Caenorhabditis elegans: one gene and its partner. The protein of the gene in region 2 purifies or fractionates together with the protein of the main gene of each other region. This does not show direct contact. Each region holds a gene or a part of one and is shown on either strand. Other genes may lie near its edges.

Evidence for each region.
Region 1: the proteins of perm-2 (region 2) and cbd-1 purify together in Caenorhabditis elegans (affinity purification with mass spectrometry, with the first as the bait; one study listed by BioGRID). This does not show direct contact.

Annotation. Positions count from the first base shown.
Region 1 is NC_003282.8:11,368,081-11,381,007, forward strand, and holds cbd-1 (Chitin-binding domain protein cbd-1), read left to right. Parts: upstream 1-4,910; 5' UTR 4,911-4,913; coding exon 4,914-4,959; intron 4,960-5,006; coding exon 5,007-5,101; intron 5,102-5,146; coding exon 5,147-5,702; intron 5,703-5,748; coding exon 5,749-6,357; intron 6,358-6,403; coding exon 6,404-7,324; intron 7,325-7,372; coding exon 7,373-7,651; intron 7,652-7,698; coding exon 7,699-8,034; intron 8,035-8,082; coding exon 8,083-8,510; intron 8,511-8,556; coding exon 8,557-8,889; intron 8,890-8,932; coding exon 8,933-9,289; 3' UTR 9,290-9,547; downstream 9,548-12,927. Other genes in the region: sec-31 (WD_REPEATS_REGION domain-containing protein), read right to left, coding at 1-303, 349-443, 2,203-2,590, 2,696-2,868, 2,914-3,130, 3,179-3,373, 3,420-3,559, 3,607-3,672; fbxb-76 (F-box domain-containing protein), read right to left, coding at 10,094-10,547, 11,192-11,268. UniProt on the Caenorhabditis elegans protein: In unfertilized oocytes, maintains egg-1 and egg-2 at the plasma membrane together with chitin synthase chs-1 and kinase mbk-2. Essential for the formation of a continuous and cohesive chitin layer following fertilization.
Region 2 is NC_003282.8:1,121,318-1,131,588, reverse strand, and holds perm-2 (uncharacterized protein), read right to left. Parts: upstream 4,800-10,271; 5' UTR 4,789-4,799; coding exon 4,705-4,788; intron 3,871-4,704; coding exon 3,711-3,870; intron 3,661-3,710; coding exon 3,425-3,660; intron 3,015-3,424; coding exon 2,931-3,014; intron 2,885-2,930; coding exon 2,837-2,884; 3' UTR 2,724-2,836; downstream 1-2,723. Other genes in the region: C44B12.6 (Clip domain-containing protein), read left to right, coding at 1,626-1,747, 2,379-2,441; perm-4 (PERMeable eggshell), read left to right, coding at 6,504-6,560, 6,618-6,765, 7,926-8,386, 9,678-10,007.

The DNA of each region.
Region 1 (12,927 bases), about 10 Mb from region 2:
CAATTAACACTAGAACATCTTTCAATGACTGTTACTTCCGGAATATCAATGTCAGTGTCTGCGCCGGAAACAACAGAAGTTGAACGAGCAGATCTATCAGGTATTGCCGTAGGTTGAATATTTGGATTTGAGACTGCTGATGCTGCGTTCTTCTCGGAAAACTCCTCATCCTGTGATTCTACAAGTCCTAAATAATTTAGCATCTTTGTGCGTCCAGCTCCTTCCTGTAGCGCGAGAAGAATAAGCCAAACTTTTCGTGTAAGATCTGCTTCTTCTGAAGTATCGCTTGATGGGGCATATGCTCTGAAGTTTTTAATTTTGATAATTTTAATCTGAAAATATAATTACCTCTCATGAAGATACCATCCTAAGTTTCGTTTATCATCCTTAATATGTAGATACTGAGCAATGTCGTTGACACCAACATCGTTTTCTGGAACTATCTGAAAATAGAAAAACTTCTGCCTTCTTCCTATATTAAATCCGGAAAGTGCAAGGGTCGTCACTTTTTGCGCAAAAAGTGTAACAAAAAATTTAAAAAGTTGGGTGTGCACTTTCGTCTGTAACTTTGCTGTACCTGCACATTTTTTAATTTTCTTTTTTGTAGGAAATAGAGAATCGCTTTTTCTATCTTATTATCTAAATGGTTATTTGATTTGATTTCATCTTTTAAGAGAAATTCTTGATGAAACACGAAAAAATCACTTTTTTCGCGTGTAGTGTCGCTTTTTTTGCACACGTTTAGAGGTCATAGTATAAAATGTTTTTGATAAGGTAACTGTATATCTGGGATTGATAAAAATTTTTAGTTTTTGCAATTTCATCAATTTTGAACTGAGTTATGATGATTTGAAAATCGGACTCGAAAAATCCCGGAATTTCGAAAATTGCGTTGAAAACATGTTTAACGTTCGTATTTTTGTTTTATTTTACATTATCAAATGTAAATTTTAACGTAGATTCCGTTTTTCTAAATAGTTTTCTCATTATCCAACCGGAAAGTTACGAAAAAAGCATAAATTGACGATTTTTCAATGAAATTGTGCGCAACCCCTTGGTGTGCAAATTAGTGATTTTTGAGATTCTTTCGGCTGTAAGTCGGTCAGTTTGGCACTTTTTGGGGTAAATTTTTCGAAAAACGTATTTTTCAGGAAATTTACTCTTCAAAAATATAATTTTTTTTACAAAAAAGTCAAAAATAACTTCAGAAATCGCAAATTTCTGCATTTTCTCAAAAAAATGACGTTTTTGCTGGAAAAATAAAAAATTTTCCACTACCGAATGGGATTTTATGTTAAATTCGTAATTAGTACATAAATACCGAATGCAAGCTGAAAGCACAGTCCTCTACGATCATTTTCAACGAATTTAGTTTATTTAATTTTTGACCTCGAAATTTCAATTTTCCTCTTTTCCTGGACCAGTTTTCTGTTGGATAATGAATTTTATGTCCTAATTCTTATTATTTTTGCTATGAGAAGCGAGACAAACTAAAATTTTTTGGTCATGAGTTCCTCGAGCCCCGTTCCTGAAGTTGTAGGCTTCAGGCCATGCTTAGGAAGCTCAAAAGTTCATTCTTCACCAATTTCTAAAATTTCAAATGCTATCATATTCTCCTTTTAACGCTGAGTTCAAGTATATACTTTTAATTTTTCAATTCCTACTATGAACAAAGTTACGACGCGTCGAAGTTTGAAAAGTCTTTGCCCGGCCCCCTCCTTCCCCTCATCCGCCAGTGGTAGTTGTATTATTCAACTCACCTGGGTACCCAACTCTTCCCAAAAATCAACATATTTGAATTATCAGTCATATAGTGGAGATATTCTTCTACTCGACACATCGTCACCCCACCATAAACCCCTCAAACATGTCGTCTTTGGCTGTCCACGTGTACATGTACATACAATTGCAATTGTTTTGAATAATTCTTGCCTGTGGCAACCTTTTTGACTATCCCTACAGTATATTTGATTACTTACATATTTTTGTTCTATTATAGCAGGCCGAAGGCCTGCTATACTGGTTCAGGAAGCCACGCAGGCCGTAGGCCTGCGGTGCGAGACCCAAAACATTGCCAATCGCACGTTCGAGGCGAAGCCGAGAACCCGCGCCAGCTAGCGGACTCGCCCCAACCCAACCTCTACTAGCGGGCCCCATAGGGCCCGCTAGTCAAAAACGAGATTTGTTATAAAATTTCAATACCGTTTCAATTTCCACATTATGGTGCCATTGTTGGGTCATTGCATCGTAGGACTTCCAGAATGTTGCCAACCGTCCACCTAATGCTATTGATGAGCCAATTAAGGGAGCACGGTGCCATGCAGGAACAAATTGATCGGAGATCCTAGCGGCAAGTACATCGGCTCCTGGTTGCGGAGATCCAAGACTAGTCAATGAGGATATTTGAACAGGATGTTGGAAATATTGAATAGCAAATTGTGATGGCTCCTCTTCATTCCATTTAACATTTCGGATCCAGTCTCCTTGAAGACTTCCAACACCTCCAAGCACCTCAGATGTTTCGTGATTCCATATAACCACTTGTCCATCACAGCCAGATGAAATTACAAGACGATCATCAGCTTTGTTCCTGTATTAATATTTTTCGTAATTTTTATATAGTTTTTTGTACAAAAATAAATTGTCTAGCTCAATTTTTATTATATAATCAACAAACTTTTAAATAAAAACTTACCAGTCAACACTCGTAATTCCCATATTATGATGTCTGTATTCTTTAACTGGTGTTGAAGTGAATCTCGAATCCCATTTCTGAATAACAGAGGCGTGTTGAGATTGGCTGGAAACTATAAGTTGTGAGGCGTCCGAAGGATTCCAAGAGAGCGAAGACCAATCACAGCCAGGAATCTGCAAATAGAACTTTAATAGCCACCAGGCAATTGAAAATCCAACCTCTGCGAATTCTAACACCGGCGATCCATTTCTTCTCAAATCCCAAAAACTGACTCTTCTGGACGATATGGAAGCAAACACAGACTCGTTCTTCAAGTTCCAGCGAAGAAGTTTCACTTGATCTGGGAAATTTGGCGAACCGGGAGAGAATGGTGTTTTCAGATTTGCGCAATCCCAGAGAAGAATTTGTCCTGAGCCTCCACCAGAAGCCATCCATCTTAAAAATTATTTTTTTGAATTGTTCTTGTAAACTTTCATTTCATACCTGCCGTCCCTGGAAACATCAATAGTGAGAACATGCCCATGATGATCTCTTCGAGAAAGAAGAACTTCTAGTGATTGATTCTTGATAAATTTATCAGCATCAAAAAATACCACAGTTCCGTCCTCTGTACCGCCAGCAATTATTCCGTTCGGATGTGCATCGGAACACAGAGAAGTCCAGGCTAATTCATTGAATCTAAAATTATGAAATACACTATACCGCTTCACATTATAATTCTCACCGATAATTAGTGGCATGCGACACATTCGGGGCCAAATTCGATTTTTCATATATCTCACTTGCTGGCAAAAAATCGATCTTTGGTTCGATTGATGTTGCAGTCGGGTCAAAAAACTGAGCGAAATCAGCAACAATTAAGCCCTGAAAATTTGATTTATTTCAATTATAGACGAAGATTGATTAATTACCTTTTTCTGAATTCCACGTGGACTCCAGACAAATACGCCGGAACGTGAGTAGAGCTTCGAGCTCATCGATCGTGTTCCGTTTAATGAGCAATTGTTGTAACTTTAGCTGTAACGTTGACGTGGATGAATGAGAGCAGCTGAACAGGGAGTAAGTGCGCTCCTTTGCACTCGAACAAATAGGAGGAAGTGAAAGTTTTTAAAAGAGTAGTCTTGATGTAATTCAGACAGCTAGAAACACCGATATCGAACGGAAAAGAAAAATGGCAGAATGAATGTTCCTTAGAATGTTCCGCATATAAAAATTGGGACTCCCAATTTGGGAGGAGTAATTCAAAATATTTCAATATCAAAAAGTGAACTCATCGCACCAATTTTCGAAAAAATAGAAGCTTCTTATTTAAAAATGTTTAAGAAAAATATCAAAAAGAAAATAAAACACTAATTGTTATATGTTTAAGAAATCAGACAATGTTTTTTCAAGTTATGTCGCGCGGACAGAGAAAACAGAGAATACACAAATTCTACTAATAGCTATTGAAAGAAGCGAGGAAAAAAGTTCATTAAAAACCTTAATTTCGCTATTCCCGAAGGAAAACGAAACGATGATTTTAAAAATCAAAAAAAAAATTGATTTTCCGTGGATCTGCAAAACGACGTGAAGTGTCTTTGCGTACTTTTGCATACCGTAGTCAAGTAAGCCGCTAATGTCCAAACTTTCTATTTAAAGTTATAATTATTTAAACCGACTATGAATTTTTAGAAGTTAATTTTTTTGTTTCAGAAAATTAACAAAAAATTGGATGCAATTAAAATTAAATCAACCAAAAAAACATATTTTGGAAAATGGAAACGGTTGGTATTAAAGGATCATGTATGTTGTTAGTTGGGTCTCGCCACGATTGCTAACTAATACCGTACTCTGTTATTTTTGGGCCGCACAATTCTTTAGTTTTTCTTAATTTTGAAAATATCTTGAATTTTCTCATAATATTTTGTTTGTTTTCATTAATTTTATGATCTAAAATTAATTTTTAAAGAATAAAATTGAGCAAATGTATGCCAATACCCATTTCAGACATGTAAAAGTGCAGTAGATCAAAAATTATTTGACCCCAGTTTTAGGCTCGAGCGGGAAATTTTTTGGATTGAGTTTTCAACCTCGAATGTTCCATTTCATTCCTTCTTCATTAGCTCTAATTTTTATTAGTTTCTCCTGAAATGGCGACCATTTTGAACCTTTTCTGTTTTTATTTCGTAAAACTTTTAAGTTAAAATATTCATCCTCTAACTGTTATCAATTTCAGGCGATGGGGCCACAGCTAGCCACCGTCTCGCTGCTTCTACTAACATTTTGTGAGTTTCTGCCTCTTTCTTTTCAATCAAATATTTTTATTTTCCAGTTTCGAATTCTATTCAATACCCGCACTCACCAGCAGCCACAGAATGCCCTGCATACTTCAACGGAAACATAGCAGGAAATGCATGCAGTCGGGAGGTAAACCAGTAGCCCTCCGTTTCAAATATAATTCTTTATTTTCAGTACTCGATATGTGTGAACGGAGTCAGGCAAGCAGCCACCTGCAGCGATGATTCTGTCTTCTACGAAGACGAATGTGTGCCAGTCGACGAATCTCCAGAATGTCGAGTAGATGAAAACACTGAAGAAGATGACACCCCATATGCGGAATTCGACTGCACATCGAAACAGGATGGCATCTACTCCATTGGCTGCTCTAACCAGTTTATCAGCTGCGTCGCCGGCGGAGCCTACATGGCGAAATGTCCTGATAGCTTGGTCTTTAACGAAAGAACCCAAGATTGTCGTGAATCTTGCGACGAAGTGAAACAGGACACAACTACTGCACCACAAGTCTACGAAGATGGTGAAGAAGGATACGGAGAAGCTTCCGGTGAGATTGCTGGAGATTACGAACGTCAACCGTCGAACGAGCAGCCGGATTCAATTGACTTCGATTGCAACGGTCTGGAAGACGGAAACTACGCCGACGGTTGCAATGACGTATTCTACTCATGCAGCAACAACATGGTGTTCCAGAGATACTGTCCACCGGGAACAGTTTTCAATATCAATCAACGTAAGTGCACGTGATCGAGTATTATGTTAATTTCTTCGTTTTTCAGAGTCCTGCGATTTCCAATGCACGACCGATGATCCAACGACCACTGTATCGTACTCAACTTCTACAATCACAACACCGCAAGAAGATGACAGTGAATACAGCTCAACAACTTCCGCTGATGTCATCTCAACAACAACAACACCTTCAATTGATGCTATTGAGACAACTACGACTGGATTTGATGCCGTGACAACGACAACAACGACGCAAACTCCGTTCGTTTGTCAGGAGGGACAAGTCAACTCCTTCGGGATGTGTTCGTCACGATTCAATCGTTGTCAGAACAACTCGGTGCGTTCAAAGCAATGTCCAGTCAACACTCTCTTCGAGTCCTCTCTCGTTATGTGCGTGTTCGATTTGCCACAATGTCAACCAATCACTGTTCCCGCCGCTCCTGCGTACAACTCTTACGGGCCTCCATCGGATACCATCGTCAGTCCATTTGATGAGAACGTTCGTCTGAAACCAAAATTCGACAGAAGGCGTAAGTATCATCATGGGAAGCCGAGTTACGGACCGGTAAATGGAAACTCGTATCTTGAGAATCCATTCTTCATCCCTCGACACCGTGGAGGCAGCCACAGAGATCATCGCCGCTATGGTTATGGACGTAAGTTAGGATTAGTCTTTTCTTTGTGATAATTTTGATACTTCAGCGGCCATTGATTCTCCATTCTCAACCGCTTTCCGTGGTCGTGCTGCACTTAGCGATCAATTCAAAGACTACCGCCGTGCAAGAATGGGAAAGATCCAAGGAGATGCCAGGAAGGTTGATGGAAACAAACGTTTCTTGATTGATGATGAGTTCGAAGGGCCAAACGCGAAGTTTGTTGAATCTAACATTGAGCAAGTATTCCCGAAGAATCGTCATTCAAAAAAACAGTTGGGACCACATGAGGATCCAGACGGCTATGACGACGAGAAAACGTTCGACGCAAAAGATTTGTTCGGAGCCACGAGAAGGAAGCGTTCAGCCTACTACGGAACTGAACAATCTGTATATGGACAGCAGTCTGCACAAATATCTGCTCGACAAGCTCAAGTAAACAAGGACTGTCAACAATACACTACTCCCACTTTCCTTACATTCGGCGACTGTTTCGATCAGTTCATTTTCTGCTCTGGAAACGGAATCAATCGTATGGCAGCTTGTCCAATTGGAGAAACATTCGACAAAACTCTTCGTTCTTGCTCAGAAACGTGCGGTGTTTCAACAACAATAGTCGCTGTCACAATCGGAACACAGACTTCAGACGATTTATCTGCACCTTCTGAGTACATTGAGAATGACGGCGTCACTACTCAATCAACATGGAATGATCAACCATCAACCACTCAGGCTCCAAATTCATACGAATCTTACACCACCCAATACTCTTCAAATGACGTGCCATCGACTTCAGCTGCTCCCATTGGGGATCGTTGTTCATTGGACGCATCAGGCCTTTTCTCACTTGGATGCTCGCAAAAATACATTCAATGTTCTAATGGAGCAGCAATTGTGCGTCGTTGTGGAGAATCGTTGTATTTCAATGAGGCCACACAAGAGTGTACTTACAGAGATGAAGTTCCAGAGTGTAAGCTTTAGTCTAAGCTGAGGTTTATATCAACTTGATAATTTTCAGGCGGATCCCAAGGATCTACAAGTTCACCTGTTATCACTACACCAGGCCAGGATCAGTCATCGAACTACTACGGAATCCCATCGGATGATGTCCCATCCACCACACAAACGCCGGTTGGAGATCGATGCGCTTATGTTGCTTCTGGGCTTTTTGATCTAGGTTGCTCGCAAAAGTACATCCAGTGCTCGGATAGTGCTGCATCTGTGAGAGAATGTGAAGGGTCTCTGTATTTCGATGAACGAAGCCAAAGTTGCCGTTTCAGAGACGAAGTGTTCAAATGTGAGTTTTAACTTTGTTTGAAAATATTATGAAAGTTACAATTTCAGGCCAAACAGCAGACGTAAGTTCTTCGTCGACTGTTCCGTATTTGGACTTCACAACTACTCCAGCATCGCCATCAGAGGATGAGCCAACAACGTATGAACCTTCCGTGGCACCGTACATTCCGTCGGTTACTGTCAACCCAGTTGATACCTGCACAAGTCTCTCAGATGGAACTCATGGAACGGGATGCTCATCGTTTTACTTCGTCTGTTCACATGGACGCCTTATCAGTTCGGGTAACTGCCAGCTGGGTGAAGGTTACGATCCATCAGTACAAGGTTGCCGGACTTTCAGTGAAATTCCAGCTCGAGCTTGTGATGAGCAGGAAGTTACGACAGGTATCAAATTTCAATATTTCTTAAGCTTCAATCCTCTAATTATTTCAGATGCTGGTCTTGTTCAGTTAATGCCGTACAAGACATTAGAAGAGGTTCTTACGACAACTGAGGCTGCTACTACAGTTGCAAATGACGGGCCAACGGACACCTACATCACTGGCTCCACTAAATATTCTACAACAGACAGCGGTGAATACACTATTCCATACGGAGATGAAACCACGTCTACTAGATCCTATGACCGAGCCGATAATGACAGCGAAGACGAAGAAGAGGATGACGTGGAGCACGACCAAAAATGCACCGTTGGATCACGTACCCCCGTTGGATTCTGCGTTCGCACATACCTGGAATGTACCGACGCCGGAAACGTTGAGAAATTGTGCAGGATTGGGAAACTCTTCGATTCTCACTCTAACAGATGCGTTCCTAGAATCGGTTGTGGAAAGGAGGCTATTCGTGATGCTATCAAGGATGTGAGTTGATTATTAAGCTAGTATCTCACAAATTACTGAATTTCAGATGATTGCAACAACGCCCGCTCCTGCTCAACCAAAGCAGTTTGAAGGACGATGTGCACATGTGGACGGGGAAGCTGTCTTTTCTATTGGTGTCTGCAGCAGCAAATATCTCAGATGCTCGTACGGTGCTTCAAAACTTCAACAATGTTCCGAAGATCGTGTTTTTTCAAATGACAAGTTGGAGTGTATCGTTAGAGAATCTGTATCCGCGTGTACTGTTCCGAAAAATCCGTCCATCAAGAAGTACTACACCAGTAATGATCAGTCCGCTTTTTGTGATGGAAAGGAAGATGGCCTTTACAGAAACGAAAGAGATTGTTCGGCAATTCTTCAGGTATTTTTAACGAATGTTTTCAAACTTAAACGAAATTTTTCAGTGCTTCGGAGGAGAACTGTTCGAACATCCATCATGTCAATCCAGCCTTGCATTCAATCAATTGACCGGCAAATGCGACTACCCACAAAAAGTCAGTGGATGCGAGAACCATGGTCAAACCAATGGAGAATGCTCCGAACATGGATCTTTCATCGCTGATGCCAATAACTGCGAAGTTTTCTATCGATGCGTGTGGGGACGAAAGGTTGTGATGACGTGCCCATCGGGAACCGTGTTCAATCCATTGTTGTCCGTTTGCGATTGGCCAAGCGCAGTACCATCTTGTTCTGGCCAAGCGTCTGACAGCAACTCTTCATACGGCAGTTCGACGTACAATGATGATAAATCGGGATATTGATAAGTTGTTCTAAACACCCCCATTCCGCAAACTAATCTAATCTTTACATGTACTAACTTTATTGCATTTGATCTCTTGAGCTAATCAGCTATTATTCAGCATCATTCCCTTCCCATTTTTCTCTACCCCATACACCCAAGTTTTCATGTTGTCATAATAATCTGATTTATTTGCATGCTCAACGATACCTTGAAGTTTAAAATTTTGTTAAATAAATCGTGCGAGCCCCAACTGTTCCAAAATAAAATGCAATCCTGTACCGATTCGAACCCCACAAAAGTTATAATAGATGTTTCCGTAAAAAATGCCGCTGTAAATGTGAAAGGGACGCAATTCATCTGAATGATTCTCTCGTATCAATCAATGATTGTTTGATATTCTTCTGAACAGTGTTCTACAAAAATGAAAGTAAACATTTTATAAATTTTACAGAAATTTGTAGTATCATTGAAAAGAAAACAATTGCTGAAAATAGAAGTTGACAAAATTGCTATTTGTTTCAGAGAGTTTTAGACGTATATTAATTTCAAGAAAATAATTTGAAGTTGAAAACTGAAAAGCTTGTGTGATTTGAAATGCAATTTCCAATTTTAGTTATTTTCCAGAAATCCCCTGAAAAATTTTCCTTGTAAACTTTCCATTTTGTGATCATTCAATCCATCTTCTTCACTTTCTTTATTCAACTTGCACCCAAGGGGGCACATTCTTTTGACTCACACCAATCTTTTGACTTTTTCTAACTTTTTTCTCTCAAAATTGTTTCCGGTTTTGTCGTTCCATTTGGATGTCTCTATGGAGTGTCGTTCATTGTACTTTTTTGTTTTTCAAATAATACTTCAACATTTTTTGATAAAAAATATTAACAAAGTTTCCGATGTACATTGCGAATGTTTCAAGTGCCAAAACATCAAACATATCACAAATTGTATCTTCGTCGCAATCAATCTTATTGAAGAAAATAGAAAGCTCTGGATGATGACCTATTTCAAGAACATGATCCAAAAATTGTCTCACTCCAAGTCCTGGATTGGTCCAAGTTTGTCCTTCACTAGTCTTCAGAATGAATTCACGTTTACCAGGTTGTTCAAGGACTTGGTTTATATCAAATGAGAAGAACGCGGACGCAACAAAGTTATTCCTATCGGCCCGAATATAAAATCGTATATTGTCTTCTAAACCCACCAGAACATCTCTCATTTTTATATTCAAATTCTCAACATGATTTTTTGCCGTTTGAGAAATGAGAGCGAATCCAATTCTGAAACAAGAAACTTTTTTTTTGCCTCCGGATAGAAATGATGTTAATTCTCATATGTAGAATAAAATGTATCTATTCTCTCGTGCTCTCTCACCCCACCAGTTGTCGATGGCCATGATCGAGTGCACTCGATAAAAAGAAACGGAGAGGCAGTATAGAACTGACCTCTCACAGGTGCAAGACTAATTTTCAAAAGCCCCATAACTTCGGAACAGTTACCAAATTTTATGGAAAACTTTTAAACCAATACAACCGTTTAAACCAATACATTATTTTCTAATACTTTATCCTCTATTAGAACAATTTTTGAGAAGTTTATCCAAAAATTACAAATTCGTTGAAGTTTCCTCATAGTCAAAAAAAAGGTGCAAGACTATTAGAGACTGCAATACTAATAGAAGAAATACGGTAGTTCCACTTTAATATTGGCAGCTATAATTATTTTACAAACGGCGTTTCTGCGACACAATAATATTTGGTTATTAGTGTGTCGTCAGGCGTATTTTGTCGAGCAACGTCTAATGATGCGTGACGTCATAACAAACTGGTGTCCCCATTTTTATAGGTCAAAGTGTCACACAAAAAACGGTGGAGGGTTTAAGAAGTTTTGGAAAACGGATAAACACAAAATTTCAGAAACTTACAATTCGGTTAAAGGCATTCTTCGAAGAACGTAATTCAGAGATTTCTCAGGTAGATTGAGCAGAGGAAAGATGCTCATTGTGTCAGAATAGGAGAACAGTGACTGTGTTACAATATTGAATGGAAGAGGGAGACTTATGATCTAACCCCATTATTATCCTATTTTCAGATCTTTCTTGCTTTTTCTCTTATCCTCTGCTTCTCTCGTAATGCCCACTCGAGTAGACAACGCGTTGAATCACTATAAAATTAGGAAGAACTGGGTCAAAGGCCACCTTTACGTTCATATTTATTGAAGGGGAATATTTTATTCAGTCAAAATGATGTTATATATCTTAAAAATATTAACACACAAGAGCCTAATAGCTTGCCGACACCGCCTGTAAATCACGAAGGCAGCTTTCAATCACTCACAACGAAATCACAACGAATGCATAAAAAACCATGCAACGAGATGGTTTAATTTAGCTCTCGAAATGATAAACGAAATTATAAAAAAAGAGGACTTATAGATATCTATTATTATCTAGAAACTCGTATATGGTTTCACTTTTGACAAATAGTAATTTCCCTCAATTTTCCCTCGAAAGTTGTAGAACATCATGCACCCTTTTCCTTTGTTTATTTGTTTCATCGTTTTCTATTTCTGATTCTCACATTTACTAAAATTAACTTCAATTGTCCTTGCCACAAAGTTTTCGTACGGACTTTTTCTCATTCCTTACGCGATCATCGACCCATTTTATTGCTGGCAAAGAACTTTGATTATTTGTATATTCTACTGAGATAACTTTCAAACTTTCAGTATAACTGTGTCCAATCATTGTTGTTGTGTTTTTGCTACAGAATAAATACAATTTGAAAGGCTTGAAGGAGAATATGCTTTGATCAATTTCAAATGAAAGCTCTTCCGTGGTTGCTTTTCGAAATAATATTAGTGATCCGGAAACGTCAGATTTCCGTGAGTGATGACACTATGTTCCAGATATAAATAATCCAAACGTCGAATGATCAAAGAGTGAGTGGAATCTAGTTATTCAGAGTGACTGGCAGCTGAAATTATACCTGAACTTTTCTGATTCTGGAATTGGTACGTATTTGGAATACTTTAAATGTCGTCTGATCAGTTTTAAGGTCACCATTCTAGTCTCCGTTTTACATTTTTATCTGACTATGAGTTCTGCCAAAATTACTAGCTTTTCATATTTTTCTCGCCGAATACAAATATTTAACTCTGCCAAAATTAAACATTTGGGTTTTCACAGTTGAAATTTGCATTCTTAATCGATTTCCATTTTTTTGTCTTATTTCTGAATTTTAGACTATTTTTGGAAATGTTAAAGCAAAACTTCATTCACACGTCCTCCAGCGTTTCCCAGTCAGGGCTTTCAAACAGAATATGTCACCCGCCTCAAGACGTCTTTATTTCAAAGTAAACAAATTATTGTCTTACAAAATTCAAATTGGTGTAAGAAAAATTGTATCCAGGTGAGAGCCGTAATCTTACTATAAACCTTCAACCTTCCAGAAACTTGAAAATGCAAGGCGTCATACATATAAATTCTAAATCAAAATGAGTTTGTTAATATAGTCTGTGTGGTATTAGAGTTTTGAGGATTTGATGTAAAGAGCACAAATCACATTGAAAAAGAGCAAATATCACATGAAAAGAAATTGAATTTAGATGGAGAAAGTTCATAATTTCAAAAGTCCCTTTTGGATAGGTTGAATGAGATAT
Region 2 (10,271 bases):
GTTTAGGCGCATGCTTAGGCTTAGGCTTAGGATTAGGTGTAGGCTTAGGCGTAACCCCGTCTTCTGAGAATTTGACATCTAATTTTGCTCTCAACACAAGTTTGATCCTTAGGCTGCACAAAATACAACAAAAAAGTATATATAACACCTGCTGGTGTTCGATAAAAAAGTAGAATTATCAAAAATGTTCGATTTTGTGCATGTTCGTCACTTTGTTGGCAGGTGACTTGATAGAATAGTAGGCGAGCAAAAGTTTCCTGAAACATGGTTTTTCACCTGTCGATGTTCGATTTTGCAACCTAGCTTGTATTTTTCAAGGGGAAATGGAATGTCTAGGGATTGTCATAAATGAATTAGTATTGCAAGACATGGTGCATGGATGAATTCTTCACTTCGACCTCTTATGTCTTTGTTGTCATTGATTTTATCCTAAAACGTTTAACTAACAAAATATTTAGAATTTAATTTTCTACAGTTTGTATGCCAAACTATTTTCCTATCAGCTGGTTAAACTAGGATTTAAGCTTTTTAACTAAAAGCTAACCATGGTGCATCAACTAAATTTGGTTTACTCAACTTTAAATGCTCAAAATTTTCTTATTTTTGATCAAAATATAAGTGCAATTTGACTTAAAATAATTGTTTTCGGTATACTTTTTCACACCTGATTACATATACTTATTGTTAGCTCAAAACAAATATTCAGACAATGTGTCATACACACAGCTGAACTTGAGTGAATAAACAAAACTTTGGTGTTCGATTTTGTCACCGAGTCACGGAAAAGTGCAAGAAACTGATCTTCAAGTTGGAATTTCCGCATTTTTAGACACTGGGAATTAAACTTGATGAAATATTATATCAAGTTAGAAGTTTCAGCTGCGACAGATCAGAAAAATTGCAAAAATTGATATTAACTTGATCTTGGAAAATGTTCTGAGCAACACTCAGTTGGTGGATGCACTATGACTTTATCAGTTGATAACTGGGTTAACCTTAACCGTACCAACAAATTCTTAACTGCAAAGTTATAGAAAAATTAATAAACAATATTTTGTTTGTTAACAAATTTTTGATAACACCAAAGAAAATCAAGATATGAGCGGTCAAAGTTCGGGGCCGATGCACCATGTCTCGCAGCTCACTTTAACAGCTTATATCTCGGTTCAACTTGATGATAAAAAAATAAAATCGACTACAAAGTTGTAGAAAAGTTGACAAGCAATATTTTGGTAGTTAACAAATTTTTTATATCACCAAAGATAATCGAAATAAAAGCGGTCAAAGTTCGGGGTCGATGCACCATGTCTTGTAGATCACTTTAACAGCTTGTAACTCGGTTCAAGTTATTGATATCAAAACTTATTTTTTACTATGTTAAAGAAAAATAAATGAAAAATATTTTGCCAGTTGACATTATTTTGATAAATTTAAAGGCAACTGAGATATGAGCTTTAAAGTTCATAAGTCAAAAATAGTAATTTCTGGAATTTTAGTACATAGGAAACTATTTTACTATTAGTAGAAATGTAAAAATCCTAGGTTTATACCATAATAAACCTTGCTGAATTCAAATTTTCTACTCAAATCGCCCAAAAACACCAGATAAACCTAATATTTTCAAGGCGGCATAATCCACTGCGAGCCAATGATGTACAACATGCGAGTGATGCTCTTCGACGACTCGTGCGACAAATATGTGGAACGAGTACAAAAAGTCGCACTTGCGTGTGTTCCGGTGTTCTCGGTGAGTCAGCTTGTTTTGGTTTGATGTGCAAAAAAATTGGGAATAGGCGAACAATAGATCAGGCAATAGATGGATATAATTCAAAACAAGCTGCTGGAATTGACACACTTTTTCGGGTGGTAATGAGTTCAACTCTCCACCACGGGAAAATTTTTTGCGAATTTTTTCATCCCAAAAAAAAGGAAAAAAAAAGGTCCAGAAAAAACAAACAAACCACGTCATTTCCGCTTTTGGGATTAAGGATTTAAAATGATTTTTTTTGCAAATTTGGACTATTAAAAAGTGGGAGAAATCTATGAAAAAAGAAATTCAACCCGAAAAGTTTCTAACATGTTTTTCAAAAGGTTTGCCACTAAGCCAAATGCGCTGCAAAGATTTCACAATGCTTTAATAATTTCCATTTATAAGAAAGATTGTAAGTTTCGAAATGTAATTGTTTTATTTTAAAACAAACTGTTAGAGCTGAAAAATCACTATATTATCTGCCCTGAACCAACAAAAGAAGTTTCAATTTTAATTCCACAGGCGTTTTCTTGATATTCATTTTTAAAAAAGTTCAATTTCACAACCGCGGTATAGACAAAGCTTCCTCATCCCGTTCTCCAAAAAAAAAAATTATTGATTTTTTCAGAACCACATCAGCTCGGGAACCCACTCGCATTCCCTGCCAACACCGCCATCAACACCACTTTAGCATCATTTGTTTCATCATATCAGTAGTAGATTGTTAGAATCCAAAGTTTTTTCCCTATTTTTGTGATCTCAGCTGTTTTCTGTATAAATTGAAAAAAAACCCTCGCCTAAAATTCTGAATTTTGCCAAAAACCGATATTTTTTGTGTCATTTTCATTAAATGTTCAATTTTTCCGTCTCATTTCATAATTTGCATTTCTCGATTTCCTATTTGTTTCACTTTTTGTCCTTTGACCCCATTTTTCCACACTAATCGGGTAGTTTTTTTGGTTCTTTATATGTCAAATGAATATTTTTTTTGGTTCAAAGTACGATATATATTTATTGATTGACTGAAGAAAACAATTTTTAAAGAAAAAAATCGATAAAATAGTTGGCCACGTGGAATTAGTTGAATTACACTCTTCTCGAGGTGCAGCACACGCATTGAAGAGCACGGTCTGGCTGAAAAAAAATAAATTTGGCAGGGTTTCAAAAGTTGTGAGCTCACCGAGTTTAAGTCGTCGTCCTTCTTGTGGTGCTTCTTGTCGGCGGACAGCTTCGGGTCGAAGATCATCAGAATTCCGACGACTTTCTGCAAAATTGGAGAGATTTTTGGGGGGAAAACGAGCTTCAGGCAACTAAAAACGAGCTTTTAAACTCGGAAAAATGTTCTCAGATACACTAAAAATTGCTTTGCAACCTCAAATATGTTTCGTAGAGGCAAAAGAGCTTAGGCCTCAAAATTTGCTTAAAAACTGCGTTAAAATTACAAAAAATGATTTTCAGACGCTAAAAACAGTTTCTAGACCTTAAAACAGGTGGAACTAAGTTTAAGCCTAATCCTAAGCCTAAGCCTATGCCTAACTTTAAGCCTAAGCTTGTGCCTAAGCCTAAGTCTCAGCTTAAGCCTAAGCCTTAGCCTAAGCCTAAGCCTAAACCTAAGCCTAAGCCTAAACCTAAGTCTAAAAATAAACCAAAGCTATAGCTCTGACCCGCACTAACCGATGAGCTTCCAGCGGCACGGGACGAGATGGAGCAGCAGTTCTGGCACGACTCCTGCGAGTAGATGGCGGTGTTTCTGCAAGCCTGACGCTCGAACGGGCGTGGTCTCTGGATGAAGGATGGTCCGTAGGCTGGAGCATCGTATTGCTGGTTGTTGTTGTAGTTGGAATCTTGAGCTGGGGTTCCGTAGGCTTGTCTCTTCACGCGGTCGCCTCTGTGGTGACCGCGATGGTGCTCTAGAAGTTTTAAGGTGAACGGGACCCGTAGGAAAGTTGTTAAAACTAACTTCTAAGACCGACAAGTGGGAAGGAAGCGTGGACAGAGCAATAGTTGACGTCAAAGTTTGGGAACTGGTAGACTGGGTATTGGGGTTGGTTGTAGGATGGTCCGTTGTCGTAGCCACCGCCATAGTGAGCTCCAGCTGGGGCGTCCTTGACGTCGGATTGCTGGAAAATTGGACATAAAATTTTATTCGCTCATACTTACTGATAATTTTTTTCTAGTACTAAATTCTAAACTAGTCTAGATTCAAAGGTAGGTATTGATTACGTTCCTATACTAATAGTAAGCTACCTAGAACAAGTACTTCAAATGAATGATGGTAAATATTAAAAGCTAAACAATTATTACACTTTCAGTATTTAACAGTTACTACTTAATCTCAAAAGTATTTAATTAGTCCTAATATACCTCCCTGAATACTATTCAATATACATGCCTACTTATAGTATTACCTTTGTATCGGATTAAATAATGTGCCATATTCGTAACGTGTTTAATTTGAATTAGACCTACATCCTATTTAAGGTACATATATTTAAGGTCTAGCTACATCTAGCCACAGTAACTCCAGGAGCAGAACCTAGGTAAAAGAAACTAGTTAAATGTATACTAACCTTCCTAATAAGTTGAATTCTATTAAATATATCTACGCTTAATCAACATAGCATTTCATCAAGAAATCTTATTACCTCTAAATTTTCTGTCCGATTCAAGTTACACCTTAGCAAGTAATCTTATTTAGACTTACTATTTAGGATATCACAATATAGTATAGGTAACCCTTACGTGATACATACTAATGCACACGTGATACGGAATAAACCTAATCTTAATAACTTGAATACAACTAATTATACCTACTGACAATACATCAAGATTTAGTCAAATATCTATAACAGCTTTACTTTTTAACGTGTCTAAATCAAGTTATCTATCAAGCTACAGTAACCTTACAGTCCGTTTTTCCTAGTTCCAACAGAACCAACAGTAACGCTTACCTTCTCAGGAGCCTCGGTGCTCACAGCGCAGGTGACAGCGGCGCAAAGTGCCAGAGACGCGACGATCCAAGTGGTGGAAAACATGATGATGATCGGAGCCAAGATGCTTCGCCGCTTTTATACTTGAGATCCGCCAGAGATATGGAGGCGGGAACTCGGCATTGTAGTTTGAGGGGAAAACGTTAGGCGTTGGATAAAAAACAAAAAGGTTTGGAGCGCAAAAATGTTTGCTACGGAACCTGGAATTAAATCTCACAGCTGTGGTAACTGAGCCAACAAGTCAAAAGGCTCCAATACATGGTGAATCACTCGGACTTGATCAACTGGAAAAATGTTCCTTAACAGTTTTTCTACAGTGTTCTAGTTCAAAATGTGTTGATTTTCTCAAAATACACTTTGCTAAAAGATACACAAATTAGTTCTTTGAACCCCGCTGGATCTCAGACACATGTTGCAACACATCCTTAGGTCACTTTTTTTTCGACCGACTATTTTTTTCAGCTTTTCCATTTTCTTTTTTCTTCGCTGCTCAATCCATCACACATTCCGCTGGGCTCTTTTTCCTGCCGGCCGCAGCCGCCGCCCACCTGATTGCAACATGTTATATGAGAAATGGGATGATTGAGTGGGCTTGGAATTTCAGACATTTCAGATGATTTCATATGGAGCAACTCGTGATGGGTGAAAGTGCAATTGAATGAGAATGGAGAAATGTGCAAATACCTGGAATTTGGGCATGAAATAGATAATTAACGTATTATGTGAAAAATTTGTCTGACAAGGAAAGTAAGTTAATCTAGTCCCGGACTTCGAATCGAGACGTATGTCATTTGAAAGCTTATGGTTAGCCTAGATCACCGCAAAAATTTCAGATTTTTGGAAAAAAATAAAAATTTCCAAAAAGCTTCCACACTGTTTGTTTGACCCTAAAGACCCCCAAAAACAATTTTTAACCGCTCTAGCCACTTTTAAGGCCATTTACTTGACCTAGAATTCAGCAAAAAAATGCACTGGAGCACTTTCAGATGGCGCTTTCAGGGGTTCAGAGTTGAGTTCCGCCGCTGAAATTTTTTTGGTGATCTAGTCTAAACATAAGCTTTCAAAGGCATATGTCCTGATTCAAAGTCCGGGACTAGATTGACTTCCTTTCCTTGTGAATTGAAAGCTTTGGAGTGATTTATAGTGTTCCTAATGGATTTCTCTATGGATTTGCCAATAAAATTTCAACAATTTACATATCAATGAGCAAATTGCAAACACGTAAAATATGCATTACATAGTTTTACAAAGTTTTGTAATAAATTGATATTTATAAAAATACATAAGAGGGATACGAGCTGCTGAACAAAAATGCTGATTATGGTGCATTGAGAGTAGTTTTATTGTAAAATTTTGGCAGTAGGTTTTACATGCATTATTTATGCTTCAGATTCCCTTCTTTTTGGTGCATCGATGAAAAATTTACTGATCAACTTTAACAGTTCATATCTTCGTAGCCTTTGGTTTTATCAAAAAATTATCAACTGGCAAGTTATTTATTATTACTTTTTCTATAACTGTCTAGTTACAATTTTTTTGATATCTTGAAAATTAGCCGAGATATGGTGCAAATCTATCGATCATCTTTTCAATGTTTCCTCTTTTTTCCCCGTTCCATCAACTCAGACATTTCTACTTTCATCTTCCTCAAGCTTTTCCTCTTGATTTTTTTTTCTGTAGGCGGAGCCCATCCCATGTTCCCCCCGAACTATAAAAGCATGGCTCCGCCGACAAATCCATCATTCGATCGCTTTTCAGAAATGAAAACCGTTCTTCTTCTCACAGTCGCCTCGCTGGCCGCCGTCCTCGGTGCAAAGGTATATGGTTTTTTTGGATTTCCGCAATTTTAGGATAATCTGAAACATTTTCTGCAGCCAACACCCACCGAAGAGGTCAAGTCAGAGGCCGCTGCTGGTCGCTACGGCGGTCGTCCATCGTATGGAGGAGGAGGTTATGGAAATGGAGGAGGATATGGATACCCAGCATTCGGACCAGGATACTGGCAGCCACTTATTCAAGATCGTGAGTTCGTGAAAATTCAAATTTTAAGAGCTATAGTAATTTGGCAATAGAGCGCATTTGCGTAGACCTAGTTATGATTATACTTGTTTGAACCGCAATAGCCAACTTATTTCAAAAATGTAACATTTTTTGGGAATCATCAAAAAATTGACTTATTCATAGGTAGTTTTGTCAATTTTCAAATTTTCGAAAAATTTTGAAAAATTCATAAATTTCTCAGTTTTCGAGATTTTTCAATAATTTTTAAATCAAAATTAAGCTAGTTCTTCAAATTTTGTTGCAAAAATACTGTTTTTTTTTTTCAAAAAATCTGTAGAACTTAGGCCAATTTATCAGAATTAGAATTTTTGAAAATGTTTGAAAACCTGTAACTTTTCCAGTTTTTGAGATAATTGTTTGATTTTTATGTCAAATTAAAGATTAATTTTTTTTAAATTTTTTGGCAAAATTAACTGCGTTACTGTAGTATTTATTTAGATTAAATTTAATCTAGTTGGTGCAGAATTTCAAAAAAGCTACAATTTTCAAAAAATTTCATTGAGTTTAATGCCAAATTGAAGCTTAAATTTTATATTTTGAAAGAAATTGAAATTCGGTAGAAAACACACTTTTCCTAGGTTACGATAGCTTCCATTATTTTTTATACAAAATTCAAAAATTTACCCTTAAAATGACACAAAAACCATCCCAAAATCTCAAAAATTGAGAAAGTTATAGATTTTCAAAAATTTTTGAAATTTTGGACTTTTTTTTTTGGAAGAGTCAAATTTTATTGCTATTAAATTTTTTCGACAATTTTTATCGAAAACTAATTTTTCTTGAAAATTCAAAAATTTACCCTCAAAATACCACAAAAACCATCCCAATATCTCGAAAATTGAGAAAGTTATATAATAGATTTTTGAACATTTTCGAAAATTCATAACTTTTTTAGTTTTCGAGATTTTTTATTGAATTTATTGTAAAATTAGAGCCAATTTTTTAAAATTCTGTAGAACAAACTGATTTGAGTCAGGAATTTTTTTTGTCAAATTAACTAAAATGGTTTTTTTCTAAAATTTTCGAAAATCTACAACTTTTCCAGTTTTTGAGATATTTTATCAGTTTTTAAGTTAAATTGAAGCTGAAATTTTGAATTTTAAGATGAAAAATATTTACAGGCTTCGTATGCGACCTCGACGCCTCCGTGCTCCTCGTCGTCGACTCTGTCCGCCGCCATCATCGCCACCCACAGCCATACTACGGTGGAGCCCCATCCGTCCCAGCTAATCGTGCCGTTCGTGTAAAGTGCTCCGAAGTTGCTACCCATGATGAAGATTCCTGTAACTTCTGCTGCCAACAGACCGCCCGTCGTGACACTTCCCTTCCCAACGATCAACTCTTCGGATTCTTGGCTATTACCAAGGATGATGATGATGAGACATTCAAGAGATCCAAGAGAGGAGCTGATGATGATGATGATAATGATTCGGATTCTGATGAGAAGGACGGAAAACATGGACGTGGAAGATTCCATAAGGTTGACTCTACCTACTTGTCAGAGGCCAACTGGGAGCCAAAGAAATATCATAAGAATGTCAAGTGCGTGTGCTGTGCTCCAAGATCCTCTCCAGCTGCTCAGGTGGGGAATATTTTAAGGACTATTTTTTTTTGTTGGGAATTCAGTGATTTTGCTTTAATCTGGCTCAAAAATTACAAAAAAAATGTTGAAAAATGAGGAAGTTATAAATTTTCAAAAAACCGCGGAATTTCGATATTTGAAGATTTTGGCCTACGAGTCTAAAAGTCTAGTTTTGAAGACAGTAAATTTTTTGAAAATTTAAAATTAATCCTTTTTAAATAATTTCAAAATTTACTTTAAATTTGGCAAAAAAATCACTGAAAAATCTCATACACTGAAAAAGTTATAGATTTTCAAATTTCTGTCAGAATTAACAAAACTTTTAATTTTGGACCAATGACTTTCTTTTTGGTTTTTACCACAATTTAGTTTTTATATAACTAAAACAATTTCACTACAACATTTAACAATTCAGCTTTAATTTGGCCCAAAAATCTCTAGAAAATCTTGAAAACTAAGAAAGTTGAGAATGTTCAAAAAATCTCCGAATTTCGAAGTTTGAAGCCCTAAATTTAAGCCATATGACGAGTTCAAGCGTCTAGTTTTGAAGAAAATATGGTTTTTCAGCGTTCAGACTAGTTTTTTCCATAAAAATTGAAACTTCCGCTTTAATTTAACACTAAATTCACTAAAAAATCTCAAAAACTGAAAAAGTTTTGGATTTTTGAAAAATTTTAGAAAATTCCAAAGTTTGAGAATTTGGCATTAGGCCTACTTTTTTCAGCTATTTTACTGAATACATCACTCCAAACATGAATTTTTGTAAAATTTTAAAATTTATATTCAATTTGCCACAAAACTTATCCAAAAGTCTCAAAAACTAAGAATGCTATGGATTTTCGAAAAATCTCAAAATTTTGAAATTCGAAAAATAAGGAATTTGAGAGGAATTTTTCATGTTTTTGAACCTTTCTAAGACGATATTAAATTAAAAATTATTTTTTCCTAAAAAATATAAAAGTTTAGCTTCAATTTGACACAAAAATCACCAAAAACTCTCAAAAACTGAAAAAGCTACGAATTTTCCAAAAATTTTGAAATTCTCTCCAAAAATCTTCTCAAACTGAAAATTTCATCGGGATTTTATTGAATTTTGCAAAAAAAAAATCGATAATTTAGCCTATGTACCACTGAGTTTTAAAGAAAATTTCCTAAGAAATTTTTTTTTCAATTTCTGAAAACCCCTAACTTTGCCAGTTTTTGATATTTTTCAATGTTTTTTAGGTTATTTTGAAGCTCATATTTCAAAACTTTGAGGGAAAATTTATTATGCAATTCAATTTTCTTCCAGAACCCATCCTACAACAACAATGCTGCTCAATCCCCACCAACTGGCTACAACAACAACGCCAACGCCTTCGTCCAGCCACAACCAGTAGCTGCTCAGTCCCCACCAATGTCAGCCTCCCAGCCACTCGTTGACCTCTGGCAATCCGAGAATACTGCTCCATCAACATCATGGGGAGCTGCTCCAGCTGCTCCATCAACATCATGGGGAGCTGCTCCAGCTGCTCCACCAACCTGGGGAGGTGCTCCAACTGCTGCTCCAACTTGGGGAGCCGCCAATGATGCTCCACCAGCGGCCACGCCGGCTCCAGTTGCTGCTTCCAATGCTTATTAATTCGATTTTCTTACAAGTGACCTTTTTGTTTACATTTTTCAAATATAATTCGATTTTGCACAACCCAATAAATATCTTCTCCTGAAATTTTGTGCTACATAGCTATTTTGGAATAAACTACCAGTTTTTGAAGTTTCCGGCAACTTTGGAAGTTGCCAAATTTGTCATTCTTAAAATTTAGCTCTTCAAATTTAACTTTTGTAAAAGTTTTTGATAATTTTAGCAACTTAGACACTTGTTGAACTTTCAAATCATTCGCAGTCT